2 linked regions of the Lepisosteus oculatus genome follow. The protein of the gene in region 1 purifies or fractionates together with the protein of each later gene. This does not show direct contact. Links are inferred from orthologs where the notes say so. Each region holds a gene or a part of one and is shown on either strand. Other genes may lie near its edges.

What was found. The genes of interacting proteins can lie anywhere in the genome.
Region 2: the proteins of rptor (region 1) and mlst8 purify together in Homo sapiens (affinity purification with western blotting; 15 studies listed by BioGRID and IntAct, with this or other methods). This does not show direct contact. The link is inferred for Lepisosteus oculatus from reciprocal best matches to the Homo sapiens genes RPTOR and MLST8.

What each region holds. Positions count from the first base shown.
Region 1 is NC_090704.1:45,061,775-45,069,289, reverse strand, and holds the start of rptor (regulatory-associated protein of mTOR), read right to left. Parts: upstream 3,146-7,515; 5' UTR 2,703-3,145; intron 1,796-2,702; 5' UTR 1,789-1,795; coding exon 1,621-1,788; intron 1-1,620. UniProt on the Homo sapiens protein: Component of the mechanistic target of rapamycin complex 1 (mTORC1), an evolutionarily conserved central nutrient sensor that stimulates anabolic reactions and macromolecule biosynthesis to promote cellular biomass generation and growth.
Region 2 is NC_090714.1:11,362,904-11,370,582, forward strand, and holds the start of mlst8 (target of rapamycin complex subunit lst8), read left to right. Parts: upstream 1-4,551; 5' UTR 4,552-4,692; intron 4,693-5,142; exon of another isoform or gene 5,143-5,391; intron 5,392-5,840; exon of another isoform or gene 5,841-5,971; intron 5,972-6,212; 5' UTR 6,213-6,239; coding exon 6,240-6,368; intron 6,369-7,021; coding exon 7,022-7,073; intron 7,074-7,679. Other genes in the region: hexosaminidase D, read right to left, coding at 152-316, 1,248-1,335, 1,680-1,789, 2,158-2,443, 3,537-3,631.

The DNA.
Region 1 (7,515 bases):
TCAACATTTTGCAGCATTATATTAAAAATAAGGCTGCCTCTCTTATTTTAAATCCCGAAGACAGCTCAAAGCAGAAATGCCCTTAGCCCCCTACTCCCTTCCAGCTCGCATCATATTTAGACAAGGATGCTGTGTAGTAAAAAAACAAGGTTAATAAATGACTTCAATACAAACAGGATGAATCATGTTTTAAAAGAAAAAAACACTTGAATCTGATTTCACTTATCACACAAGGCAGAGCCCAGTTTGGCTTGCAAAGGTTATCTGCTTGTAACCGATTTTCTAAGCCTGCTGAGTGATTTGTTTGAATGTAACTAAAAAACTTAAAGATCCACATCTGGTCAGTGGTGCCACTGCCATGGTTATTCTGTTATTGCTGGTTGTTTTGGAGAATTATTTGGATTTTTTTGAAAGTTAGATAACAAATGTTACATTTAATATTTAATCTGAAAAGGTTTAAAAGATCACCCTGTCATTCTAGATAAAAAGAACCCCAGCCCTTCAACGGGTAAACAACCAGTGGTGCAGACTGAGCCTGCCTAGCTCTCAAATCCCAGCTCAAAGCTGTACACCACAGCTCTCCTTACAGTGAACGGAACACTGGCGACTCAATTTAAGCAGTCTCAGCTTTATCCGACCTGCTCTGGAAAATAAAAAATACTCTTAAAAATGCTTTATTCTCTGAAAAATTAACCAAGCACACCTACAAGAGGTAGTTAGTGAGCCTATACAGTCATTTTACTTGTATTTACTTTTATTTAGCATTTTTATACTTATATTTAATATTCTGAATTACCATAAGAGGTTTTTTTTCCATAAAGGTTTAGGGTAAAACCTGACAGTATGCGTATTTGACTAGACGCTACTCAAAATCCTTAACCCTACAGTAAGTTAAGAGTAAACTGTAAAGGACACATCACAAAGTAACCAACTCTCCCATATAAAAAAAAAAGAAACGTGCGCAAGAAGAGTGGCCAATTCACAGAGCAGTAGACATGCAAGAAAATGTGCAACGCTGATTAAAAACCAACAGGTATAAATCACGTGCATGGGACAGCCTCATGCAAAGACCCAATTCCACCTCACAACTGCTCGACACAACCTTCTTTCTCCACAGGTACACACAATTGTTTATGAGCATGCGCACGGGCCTTAAAAACCCACTTGCTCCGATCTCCCACAACTGAAACACACCTCTCATGCCTCAGAACGAAAACTGAATGCCTCCCAGCGCAAGAAACAGCAGTAATGCCCAGAAAACAAGGACACGTATCCGATTTGCTGCCATTAAAAGAGTACGTCTGTCTGCACTTGTAGAATGCAGATGACGACATATTTCGGTGCTGTGCTTTCAGGTCAAAAGGGACAGGGAACGAAAAATTCTTGGTGCCTACCCCTAGATTTCAAACAGCTCGAATGTGCTCACTAACATGGGAGTGCACAAGACTAGAAGCAGTACCTTCAAATCTCACTCACAACACAGTCATGTCGAGTTGCTGGGCTGAACGCAAGCAGGAAGCAGACGGGTCACTGCTTTGGACAAGACGCTCGTCAGCCCTGTGAGCGTTTGGCATTCCCGCCACGGCGGCGGCGATCGCGAAGGCAGGCGCGCGCGCTCACCCTGTCCTTCATCCTCCAGCTCTGGGCCAGCGCCTTGGAGCCCTCGATCTTCTCGCAGTGCCGCTTCTTCATGAAGGCCAGCGGCAGGTTCCAGTCCGTCATGTCGGCTTCCTCCTCCTCCCCGAGGCCCACGGCGGGAGAGTGAAGCAGCTCCGAGTCCATTCTCATCAGGGCCCTGCAAAGACCAGCGGCCGCCTCAGAGCACAACCCCATCACAGCATCGAGACCGCAGCCGGTCAGCGAATCAGTAGATCCACTCTTGTCTACTAGAACAGCCACTAGTTATGGACGCAGAGGAGGCTGATAAAGACCCAGGTGAACTCCTGACCTGGAGCCTGAGAGAACCATGAAGGAAAGCTTTTCTGCCTGCCAGACAAGTGATCACTGGCAAGACCCACCTTGGGTTGCAGCTTTATTTTGCATCCCTGGTCAGTTATGATGACTCTCAAAAGTGACACAACTATCCATGAAGGTAAAGGCTCTCATTTGCACCAGTAAGTACTGTTTAGCTTGACCAGAGCTGGGCTGGAAGGAAACCCCACAGACACGGGTGTCCCTCCATGACCAGGACCGGACAGCCCTGAGAGTCTTAAAGGATGTGTGTGTGTTGTGCACGGTGGAGATCAGACAATGTCACTGGGTCAACAAATACACAACGCGGAATCGGCTGCGGTTGTGTACCGACATGCGTGGAATGTCGTGATCGGCTTCATCGCCACGCAAGTATCACTACCTGAACAGCCAGCCACCCGTTCGGGCTTCAGTTCAGTGAAGGAAGTACACATGATCACCCCCCCCTCCCCCAAACACACAAACACACGCGTACAATTAAGAATGTGTAACGATCTGATAGGGGAAGGGAGATATTCGTAGTCTTTAAAAACTACAGCAACAATACTTATTTCTACCGGTCTTACCACCTAACACTACCGCGCGCACCAAGATCCGAAATAAACACAACTAAGCAAGATTGTCATTTCCTTCTTGTAAAACAATAAAACAGACACATGAGAGAAATCTGCCAGTAAGGAAAACAAGAAGCCCTTTAAATGGGGATGATCTCGTTCGCAGATGACACGGACCTTATCTCCCCGCAATCCCTCACACGGGAAAGGGAAAATTAGGCGTCCTTCTCCCAAAACAGAGGCAGAGCCGAAAGGCAAAAATCCCGCATCAAATTCCTCTGCAAACTCAACAGGTTTGGCGAGGTGTCTCTGCTGCCGTGTCCCAGGCCCCCGCTCTCCGTCCCCAGGCAGTATTTTCGAGGGCTCCTTTCGTCCACTCCTCGCTAGGGGCTGAAAGAGAGGCCCATTCTCGCACGGACTCGCCGCCTGAGCCTCGCCAAGGTCTGACCGGCTCCAACCAGGGACGTCACAGCCGAATATGCTGCCTCGTACTGCCGTTTATATCCCCGTCGGCGCTTCCTCTCGCTGTTGATACAGCACTGAGCCTGAATTCGCGTCTGTTTCTCCAGAGAGACACTATCTCAGCACAAACACAAGGGCGCCGCCATGTTCGGCTTGACCCAGCATGCACAGCGGTCGAAAGGGGAGGGGCTGTTGCGTGGGAGTCATTGCGCGCCCCATGTCTGTCGGTCTGGCGTTTTCAGTATGTACTATAGATTAAGCATTTTCTTAATAGCACATTTCATCATACCGAAGAAGCCCAAAGCACTGTACATACAGGATGGGACCCACCTCATTCACCATTTAGGTGCAGCACTTCAGAGCCAACTGTGGAAGCACAGGGCAGACGACCGAATGCCTGTCCAGCGCTGGGCAAAATTAAAGATGCCAGTTAACACAGCCAACTTGTCTTCAGAAACTGAAGAGGGACATGGGATAAGAGCTCTGTGAACAGAGGAGAACATGCAGACTCCTCTCAGTCCAGAATTGATCCCAGTGCCTGCGTTGAATCTCTCAAAACTAAAATCGCCTGGTGGATGGGGAATGAAATCCATGTGACACAACGTGTTTCTGCACTGAGCTCATTCAGCTTGGTGCCACACACATTTCCTTCCCCTCGCGTACTTCCTGGCAGCCCTGACCAGCTGGGGAAAGAAAACGCATGAGAAAGAAACCGCTGAAACAAACCCCAAGTGCCGACAGCACAAGTGAATCCACCTGAAGCTCCAGCTTGTCCGTTTTGCAGCTGTCCCATGGTTTCGCTAAACTCGTCAAACATTCCCTCTGGTCTGTCACAGCAGCCCCATGTCCAAATCGTAGTTTAGGAGTCCTCCCCGTGCTTTGTCACTACTACTAGTAATAATAATTCCTTACATTTATATAGTGCTTTTCTCCACTCCAAGCACTCTACAGGTAATGGGGACTCCCCTCCACCAGTGTGCAGCCCCACCTGGATGATGCGACAGTGGCCATAGTGCGCCAGTACTCTCACAACACACCAGCTCTTAGTGGGGATCAGCGAAGCCAGTTCATAGATGGGCATTATTGGTAGGGAACACCCCTAACACGCAAGGGTAAAACTCTTTTTGAGAAATGCACTGGTATTCTTAATAACCCTGGAGAATCAGAACTTCAGTTTTATGTCTGGATGGTGCCTTTACTACACTATAGTATCCCCATCACTATCCTGGAACATTTGGACCCCACACTGGCTGCAGGGTGAGCACCCCCTACTGGTCCCACTAACACCTCTTCCAGCAGCAGCCTTAGCTTTCCCAGGACGTCTCCCCTCCAGGTACTGACCAGGCTCACACTTGCTGAGCTTCCATGGACTGCAAGCTATGAGCTGCAGGGTGATACAGCTGCTGGTTGTAAGTCTGCTCTGATACAGCACAGTGAAGCTGAACACAGGACTCTCTTAAGGCTCCTTTGTTTTATTTTGTTCTGCCCGCTGAGTTGCTCGGTGTGCCCCTCTCTGGCTCTTCCTGTCATGTGACCAGAGCACAGGAGGGTGAAGTGCCCTCAGGAAAGAGCCCCACAGCTCTTCCATTCCCTACCCACACCTGTGCAGAATCCCGCAGGGACAGCTGCACTGTGCCAGAGTAGGGAACAATAGTGGCACTAAGTCAGTGATCGGTATGCAGAGCACGGCCGCAGGGCCTAAAAAGTAAGTCAAGTCTCTCGTAGTCTTGTAGCTGCAGTTATTCACTGCAAATCTGTATTATGTCAAGTCCGAAATTATCCTACCCAAACTCCCCAAATCACGTCGTCTGAACGTGACGTTACAAAGAAAGTGAGAGGAAGGGCTTTTGTTTGAATAAGGGGAGATCATTCGATTTAAATGGCATGAACAGGATAACCACTGACTCACACACAGCCACAAACAGGATTCCTGCTACTACAGACACCTCAAGCAGAAAAAGATCTGTATAAAATGAATTGCTTGCACTGACATTAGTCTTGCATTAGTCTCAAAGACTAATAGGAAAAAAAAATCTCTCATTTTAATAACATCAGAACATAAGAAAGGTTACAAAGCACAGTAGACCATCTAGCCTGTTAGGTTGTTAAACAGGTAATTGATCCCAGAATTTCCCTAAATAAGCCAGGGTTTTGGCTTCAGTATCCTGGTTGGGAAGCTTGTTCCACACTTCCACAGCTCTTTGGCTAAAGGGTTCAGACTCCGGCAATCCTAGTTCAGCTATCTCCTGCCTGCAGAAACCGTAAGTTGGAAAGCAATGGATGCAAAATCTTATACTACAGAATTCATTTCTAAAAGATCTTAGGATCAACATTTGCACAGAAAGTTCCCATGAAACTTCTTCCTCGAATCTCACCAGCACACCTCGCCCACACGCACACCCACACTGTGGAGCTGTCAAAATCCTGATTGACTAATCACCCCGCAGCTCAAGCAGGGCCTTATGGCCAATCATGCAGTCGGGTGTGTGAGAAGTGTGTCAGAACCTCCATTCGCCCTTCGTCCTCCCGGACAAGGGGAGGAATGGATCCCACATTTAAAGAGCGATCCCCCTGAAAAAAGTCTGACATCTCTAATCTTAGATCCGAATAATAATATGAGTCTACCCCATGCAAGCATCAAATATATTTTGGAAAGGAATAATTTAATTGCAATTCAAGAAAGGCATGCTCCTTCTAAGGGTTTTACTGGGGCAAGATTGCATGACATTTGCTGTAGTCCAATGGGTTTACCATCATCATACCATTCTTTGCTGTTGTCTCCACAATAATTGCTCCCAAGGGAAACCATGGTGAGAAAAAGCCATACGCTGTCGTATGGACCATCCACCTCAGGAATGCTGACAGATGTTGTACGTCCATTAACAGGAGCAGGAGGGCGGATGGGCTGCTGTTTACTGTAAGAAAACACTGGGAAAAGCCAAAAGGGCAACAGAAGCACCAAGCGTGAGCAAATATTGACAGTTAGATGAGAAAAAGCCACTCAATCTTCTTCCACTCGGATGAAGGGGATTCGGGAAGCTGCATGGCTTTTAGTAACGGGACCAGACGTCAGTGGCCATTCAATGTGCTGGAGATAAGGAAGGAAGTCAAGGGAGCAGAGGCGAGGGGGACCGCAGGCCTCCAGCGCCTCTGACCTGGAGCACCACGCGCAGCTACACGGACGCCTGCATGAGCCGCACTGTGAGCAGAGCAGGGTCTCCTTCCAGAGAGTCCCTGTAATCCTGACGAGTGCTGCCAGCAGCACAACCTGTTTAGGGGGTCGTGCGTTTGGCAACAGCGAGCACAAGAGGCTGCATCAAGATTTGCGTCAGCAAAAGCATCAAGACTGAAAAAAGTGAAAGCAACAAGCCTAAAATGGGGTGTCCTTCTTGAGCTCATACAACGCATTCAAGAGCTTTTGGAGGAAGCCTTCTTCTAAAAGGCACACAAGTACTCACATTTCACTAAATGGCCTGCAACAAATCTTTTGAGGAGAGACATCATGTTCCTGCATCAGCTCACCAGACCGGAGCTGAAGTCAGTGTGTGCAGCGTTAAGTGGACTGACAGAAGTGGTCCCTCCCTCGATGGGATGCTAGTCAATGGCTAGGCTGACAGCTGTACTCATGCCAAATCTCAAGAGTACAACCACAGTACCCACAGCGCGGACACCAGCCCACAGCCTTCCAGCTAAGTGCCCACAGCCCACACTGCTAGCCGAGTCTAACAAAGACAAAACTCAGCCAGCAGAGCGCAAAGTGTGAAAGAGACGCCAAGAACACAAGACAAGCGAAAAAATAAAGAAATGGATCACATTCACCGTACAACCAGACTCTGGCCATCCATCTGGGGTCTCTAGACGAGGACTCGAGCCCTGAGCTGGGGCTAATTGTTCCAGCTCACAGTGACTGAATGAGTGGGAACAATCTGGCAGCTGCTCCAGCTATGCACCGGGCCGCAGATGAAAACTTTAAGTGGGGAGCCCGCGTCTCCTCCGAGCCTGATTGACACAGGACTAGCAATTCAGCAAAGTCAACAGACGAGGGAATGGGGGCGGTGGGGTTAGAGACCTGGGGCTTCAGTGGGAAAATTAAAACACAAAGGAAGAAAAGTTAAAAACTTCAACTCAAAAAAGCATACTGTGCTGATTGACTCCCAGCAACAGACCTAGAAGGTTACCACACATCACACAGGATATGAGAGTTTACTGCAAGTAAACTGTAATCAAGGCAGTTTAGAATGCAGGCAAGGGCACCGACATCATTCTGAGAGTGACATGACATCATTCCGAGAGTGACATCACATCATTCCGAGAGTGACATCATATCATTCCGAGAGTGCAACCAAGCAAACAGAGGGATGGTGAGGCAGAAAACAATGCTGTTTGACCACTGTGTCAAAACAAACGTCAACGGAAACCTATAAGAACTTTTATACAAACTGACTTCACAGACAACTGTCCATTGCACTGCATCAGCCACTTTTCAAAACCAGGTGTGTCTTGCTGAGCTTTGGAGATCACTCCTGTT
Region 2 (7,679 bases), on another chromosome or scaffold:
ACCTATAATGAAGTGGCTTTTAATCAACAATGGTGTCTCTCTAATGCACATAGATTTTAACGAAAGAGAACAAGAATCGAAGCTGCAGATCACATGTACTCTACACGTCCTGGACTATTCTCTTTGGGTTGGCCCGTTTCCCCTAACCCACCTCATCAGCACCGATGTGCAGCCACCGCAGCCCGGGATGGCAGTCCAGAACCTGCGACAGCATGGCCTGGACCAGCGGCTGCGAGCCAGGGGCGTGGGGGTTCAAGCTGTTGGGGAACCCTGGCACCTCCCTCAGGTTCGAGAACTTCTCGTGCTTCAGAGCAAACTGTGCAGACAAGATCAGAGACACTTCTGAAGCAGGCCACAGCTCGCTTGAGCCTGGGGAGAAGCAGTTTACATCTCCCAAATCCCTGATGGTGGCACACCAGGAATTCACTAAAATGATCAAGATGCCAAAAAGTCTCTGAAGTGGGACATGTATATATCTCACTTATCCAGCATCACAATATCATCACAAGCACATTGTGAGAGGTGTTGCTGGGGTCTGTTAATTAAGCCTTCAACAAGAGTTACTCTAAGATGCCATAATGCGGACTTGCTTTAGCAACCCCAGTAACTTAATGCTACATACATAAACGACAGGAACAACACCCACAAACAGGATAAAGCAGATCAATGTCTCCTGCATATCGAAGGACAGAACTAAGAGCAAGACAGAGCAGGACAATATGTAATAACATATCAAAGAACAAGACAAGCACTCAGATTGTGAAACAAACTTCTTTCTGACTGTATATAAGAGCTGGAAAAACCCTTGCAGTGTGTCTGTTCTGTGGGGCAGACCCAGCGTGCATTGTGTACTTATTGACAGTCTTGTGCAAACAGAATCTGCACAAGACTGTGTCCTGCTCCTCCTCTGCTCCTCTGATGAAGAATTTCCCACAGCAGTCTTCATATACACTGCATTCAGTTCACTGCAATCAGATTCCTGGGTAGAAATATGGTTTTATGTTCCTGCATGTGATTGTATGCATTATTTGCATGCCTGAGCTTTAAACACAAGCTCTAGAAAACAGTTGTCTAACTGCCCAGCTCTGCAGTCTGTCCCACTACTGGATTTTGACACAACCAGGGCGTTTTCTTCACTCAATCACGTGTTTAGAGCTGCACTGGGACAGAAAGTGGGGAAGTTCAGATGCCCTGTTTTAGAGATGTGTCCTATCGCATGACTCTCTGGGTCAATGTATCTCCCTCACCTCCAGGTGTCCAAACACTTGAACCAGGGGGATGATCTCCAGCTTACTGAGCTCTGCCAGGTGCCTGATCTTCTGAATGTCCTCCACACTACAGCAATGAGAGAACAATAGGACAGTTACCCTGTGGGAACACTTGAGCTTCCTGTAACAGAAGAAGCTACACAGAGAAATATAGAAGTAACTCCATGGGCCACTCTCTCAAGCACAGCTCTCTGATTTGCAAAGCTAAAAGCCTAATTTTAACATGCAGCTGATCCAAAGAGTTCTCAATGCATGGAGCAAGCTGATGGGAACCATGAGTATCATGCAACTCTAAAGCCCAGTGAAATGAATTAGAAACTGAAAGATGTTTTGCAGATAATTGAGACTGAACATGTTCTTGGCAGTGAGTTGTGTGCAGTTTCCTGTACCCAGCTGCCCAGCAGCACTCACCTATAGGCATGGGGCGATCTGAGGATCTGAAGGTCACCCTCATACGGAAACATATCCTCATATTCCAGCAAAATCCCATTGGCCCCAAGAGAAGACAACAATGGGAATACCTGGGAGAAAACACAACAATGAGGCTATAAGCATATGTGGTTTCAAGCTCTAAGAAGCAAATTCGGATCGCGGGAGCAGTCCAAAACTGCAGGTACACTTCAAAGCAGGTGCAGGTGCAGCCTTTATGCATCACAGTCTCCTTCTGCTGAAATGCTTTCATGCATTTCTTTTTTTCTGGCAATGTGTTTTTAGCCAGCTATACTGCTACAGTTGGGAATAATAAGCAGGCTTGACCATCTTACAGCTCTAAAGCCATATGTGGCTCTTTGTTTTAAGTGAGTCTGAATGCTGCCACAGTACCATAAACTCTTCATTAAGAAGACTTACTCTAACCCAAAGCACCATACGCCCCTCCAGCCCTGCTCACCTGCTCCAAATAGGTGAGTTTAGGGGCAGCACCTTTGAGATCAAAGTGCACAACCCTCAGTGGAGTCTGGTTAGTGTCTTGCCGAGGGGTGACTTTGGGTTTTTTCGGGGAGTCCTGTGCCTCTCCTCCCTGAGACTTCTGAGGCTCCTGTGACTGGGATGTCTGCTGACGAGCCCACACCAGAGCCTCCTTCTTCTGCGGAGTCTGCTTTTCGTTCAAGACCGCCCCTCCGCCAATCTCTCTGTGCCCCCAGAACACAGCAGGGTCAGGCACAGGCAGCTTAGAGCTTGAACACAAACACACGACAAGAGAGCGACAGAGCAGAGACAGAGCTCTGGTCAGGAGACGGGCTGATTGTTGTGGCAATCTGCATCTGTACTACAATTAAGCCGCTTAAGTGAAATATTGTCTTGGCAAACTGATGTGTTTTGGAATGTGAAAGGAAAACAGAGGAAACCCATACGAACACAGGAAGAACATGCAAACTCCACACAGATATCGCCCCAGGAATTGAACCCAGGGCCCCAGAGCTGTGAGGCAGCAATGCTATTCACTGGCCCACTGAGCTGCCTCAGGTTACACTAGTACCTAGAAATTCCAATTGAGGCACTAAACTGAGATGAAGGTAGAAGAACAAGAAAAACAAGCCCAAGAATGTTAACACAAAACCAAAAAAAAACACTCAAGCAGGCAGTATGCAGAAAGGAAAAACATGACTGTTCTTTTCCTGCTACAGACGTCTTGATCCAATGGTACCATAGGGCTTTTGTTTCATGTGTCAATAGAATAGATATGATAACATGCAACTAAAATAAAATACAAATTCATCAACAAAATACACAGTTCACACCACTTGCTTACTTTACACAAAATCAGACGCAACCTGTAAACGCCCACTGAAGCGATTACATAAAGAATGCAGACAGTGTTAGAGCCTGTTTTTGCTCTACAGATCATTCTTTATGAAAAGGACCTCTCTATGATTGACAGTACCATACCAACACTGCCCAGAACCACTGGATTTCGAAACTGCCACTGGCTGTAAACTTAAGATGCAAATCCTACATCTCCTGACCGACTTTTACATTAGGCTGCAGCTTTAGCACAGTAGTGGTGAGATTTAGCTGGAACGTCTAGATTATGTTCATGGGATAAAGAAATAAGAGTGAGCTCCAGGGAAGAAGTGAAAATTAGAACAAATGTTAAGCGCATCACACAAACATATTGGGACTTTCTTGTTGGATGCCTGGTCATTCCCATTGGGAATGTAATATTCAAGGTCAGGAGTGAACTAATACCCAAAGAGCAGCTCTGCCTCTCTGCTGTTTAACACCCCACACCAGGCTGCCCTGTCTGTCTCTCAAAGGAATCCTACTCACTTGGACCTCAGGAGGAACCTAACGGCAGTCAGGACCACGACAGACAGCACCACCAGTCTCAAGACCGCCGGCTTCCTCATGAAGTGGGTGTTCATTTCTGCAGCTCAGTGCTAAAACGTAGACAACAAGGACAACGCATTAACAGCACGGTGCTCTATCAGAAGAGAGAGGCAAAGAAGAGACCGACTGAGCCATTCTTCCTCACAACAAAAAATGTCTAAATTCGACAGAGGAGGGATGGGCAGTTCTGGTCTGCAGGGTTTAATTCTGACTCATCTCTTCACAAGCTCATTATTGGCTATGGGACCAGTTGAACAGCTTCTCCCAGCTGTTTCTCAGTGCGCCTGCTTTGAATTTCAATTAGAATTAGCAAACCTGTAGGCACACTGACCCTCCAGGGCTAGGACTGTTCACCCCTGCTATGGATTTCCAAAAAGCACAGTAAATCATCACCCAGGCACTTACCTACTGACACTCCATCAAGCAAAATGCTCCTAGTAAGTAAATATACTTGAGTAAATATGCCTTGGTAAAGCACTGATAAGCTCTTAACAGGGACAGGCATTGGCTGCTGTTGTGCGCTGAATTCTGGATGACCTACGTCCTGTACGCCCAGGACATACCATATCGACAAGAGGTGGATTCCATAAGATCACATAAAGGTTTAGGCAAAACCTTGTTAAATGTTAAGCAACTTGTGAATGATAGGACTTCAGCTGCGTTGCAACATAAAAACCTCTTTGACATTTACTCTTAATAGTCCCCGAAGGACAAAAAGTTATTTGCAGTCATTAATCGCTATCAAAAGCTTAGTGGAAAGTTCAATTAAGGCGCTCAAAATGGGCTGAAGAAATGATTTTCTCCTGCAGAATACCCAAATTACAAGGGACAGGGGCGATGCAAATCTTGAGATTTTACAATAGTCTCTACAGGCAACCACTGCTCCCTGAAAAAACAGAGGGCAAAGGTTAAGCACAACCTATAGCTACATAAATATTTGCCTTAACGTCATTTAAAATCACGGTGTGTAGAAAACTACTATAACAATGGTGCAGTGAGTTTAAGTTTAAGTGGAGCAGATTTAGTGTACACAAACGTTGTTTTCCATCCACCCTGTGTGTCAACAACACTCCCACGGGCAACTGCAGCGCTACAGGTACTGTGATTTGGTTTACCATTAAAATAACACTAAAATAAAACCCCGACCCTTCCTTCCTTAACCACGGTAAAACTATCCCTCCACAAATGAATAACGATGCAGGGTCTGATCAAATTCACGTACCGAAATTGTTTTTTGTTTTTGTTTTACTAAACGCAATGGTGCTTTAGAAATATATATTGTAACGCACTTACACAGTGCCTGTCGGCCGTAAGCGTTACAATATATATAATGTGCAGTACACATCGTATTCAATAGTCGATGAGCGCTGCTCGGTTGCTATTTAGCGCAGTAAGAAAACAGGCCCCTTGCAAGAATAAAACGAGAAAAATGCACCTGCTGCATGTTAGGCTGGTGCCATCTAACATACCAGGCTGAATCAGTATATTACACCTTACTTCGCTCTGGATAATAATTGTATAGCAGGAACTTCAGCACAGTACGTACCTTACCTAAGAGATACAGGCGATCTTACCGTCACCCCTCTGCGTGCTGCGGTGAAATTTAACCAAAAAAACAATTCTAATGGCAAATGATTTTCAGAAATAAATGCACAAGGTCAGGGAGTAACATAAGAAGCGCTTTCTCGTTTCGTTACTTCCGTATGTTTCGTTATCAGTAGTTAGGCTCAGAGTCAGTGTGATCGCTACAGTATGTCGTTAATTATACATTTCCCCACGGTGCGCTGTCACACTTGCTGACTGCGCGCAGCACTACACAGTATTAGTAAAAACTAGTTTGGCACATTATTTTGATGTTGGCTCGTTTTAAACTACGTTTTAAACCACCAAGGAACGATTTCAGGTTGAGGATCCAAAAATAGTTAACCGTCAAGTCCAAAAACGGACATGACAAATAAATATATTAAGGTCAGATTATTATTTTTTTACCATTTCTTTCACAAAATAATTTCCCTCTGGTCGTAGGCGAAATCAATTGCTAACAAAATACAGAACATTTGAAACAGATCTTTCAACTGAAATACATTTTTATGAAATTTCCCTGCAAGTAAAAAATAGTATACTGTGGTTTTGATTTCAATTGCTTTATCCGTTTTATATATGTATTTATTTGTCTATATTAGCCATCCCTTAGAGCGTAATTAGAATACTTAGTATATGGACCATAGTGGTCGGAACTTACAGTCTAAATCCTTGTTGCAGTGGGGAACATTACAGAGAGGAATTCAAAACAACTGGGGTTGGTGTTAAGTGATATTTGCTTTACAAAATAAATATCTATATTACTAGTGTTATTTGGGAGTCGGCACATCTGTGTAAGTGTTATATACTTTTAATTCTACAAAGTTTTAAATTGTTTTAGTTCTTTTAAGTGTTTTAAAGCATCATAATTGTGTATCGTAGACTGTATGCTACTGCTACTGTATTTGTTTATAGAGTAGGTGGATCTTTCATAAATGTTTTGTGTATAAATAAATCAGATTGTTTTTTATAACGATTGCTATTTTATTAGGAATAGGCTACTAACAAAAATAATATTTGTACTGATCCATGAAGGGTGAAGAGCTCCGGTCTTATTGGAACATGAATGTAAACCAAGGTACCGTCGGCAGCGACCCGGTTATCCTGGCCACAGCCGGCTACGACCACACGGTGCGGTTCTGGCAGGCCCACAGCGGCATCTGTACACGAACCGTCCAGCACCAGGACTCGGTATCCTTAAATAGGCACCGGATGGGGCAGCTTGTAACGTCTGCTATACAAGCTGAATGTCTTGAGTAGAGTTGAGCACAGTGTTAAGACCAGTACTTCACACTGCGGCTAATGCCCAGTCTCTGATCAAAGACGGAAGATAAATTAAGAAATACTGGATTAGATTAGATCTCTTAATTTTATTTTTAATGTTGTATCTGGCTATGATTTGGCTTGAGCACCTTATCAGATATTTCTGAACATTGATGCCATCAAACAGTGGCAGTGAGTAACTTAGTAGCTCCAGTGTCTTGAGTTCCAATCCCTTTCTGTTTGTGTGGCGTTTGCATGGTCCCATGTCTTTGTGGGTTTACTCGTGGTGCTCCTATTAACTGCTCTGGCAGTCCAAGGAATCAGGACTACACCCTGTGCCTGTAGGTGTAGGCACACTGCGGTCCTCTGAGGATAAAGCACTCATTGAAAATGCATGTGCGAATGGATGGACAGCACAGTCCACTTCTGTACAGCTGGTCATCAACAGTAATGTGCCGTTGATGGCGTCTAATCAATGTACAGGTAGTGATCATGTGTAAAATGTGCTCTGCTTAATGATTAGTAGGGCACAGGGGGCTGCCTAATTATTTTTGTTCTGGTTCCTGAACCTGGCTGCTCAGCAGGTGAATGCCCTGGAGGTGACCCCTGAACGCAGCATGATTGCTGCAGCAGGTGAGTACCTTACCCTCTTGTGTCTAATCAATACCAGAACCCCAATCTGCAGTTTTCTGCAGGACCCCTGATGGCCAGGTTCCATGGTGTGGCAGGATAGACTGTTCCCAGCTCTTAATGCAATAAAGTATCTCTTTTCATTCCTGCTACCATTTCCATTCTCATTCCATTATTGAGCCTAATGAAGTCCCATGGGCAAAGTTGGCGGTATCATCAACTCTCCTCCATGCTCATGACACGTCTCCTGTGTCTGTCCACTTTTGTGAACACAGATGTGCCTAATTCCAGAGTTTTTGAATTTTATTAGACCAGTAGTTCTCAAAACCTTTTGGACCAAGCACCACCCCTGATCAAACCAAACCATCCAAGTACCACCTACAAGTCATCTTCTCATAGGAACCCCAGAAATTCTCAATGACCAACATGTGCGAGCACGCACACACTCACATACACATATAATAAATATAATAATAATAATCAACTTTATTTGTTATAGCGCTTTTAAAGGTGGCTTCTCAAAGCGGTTTACAGAAAAAAAAACAGGAACAAGAACAATTAAAAATAAAAAAAAAATAAAAAAGCACCATTTCAGTGAGAGGGGTGAGC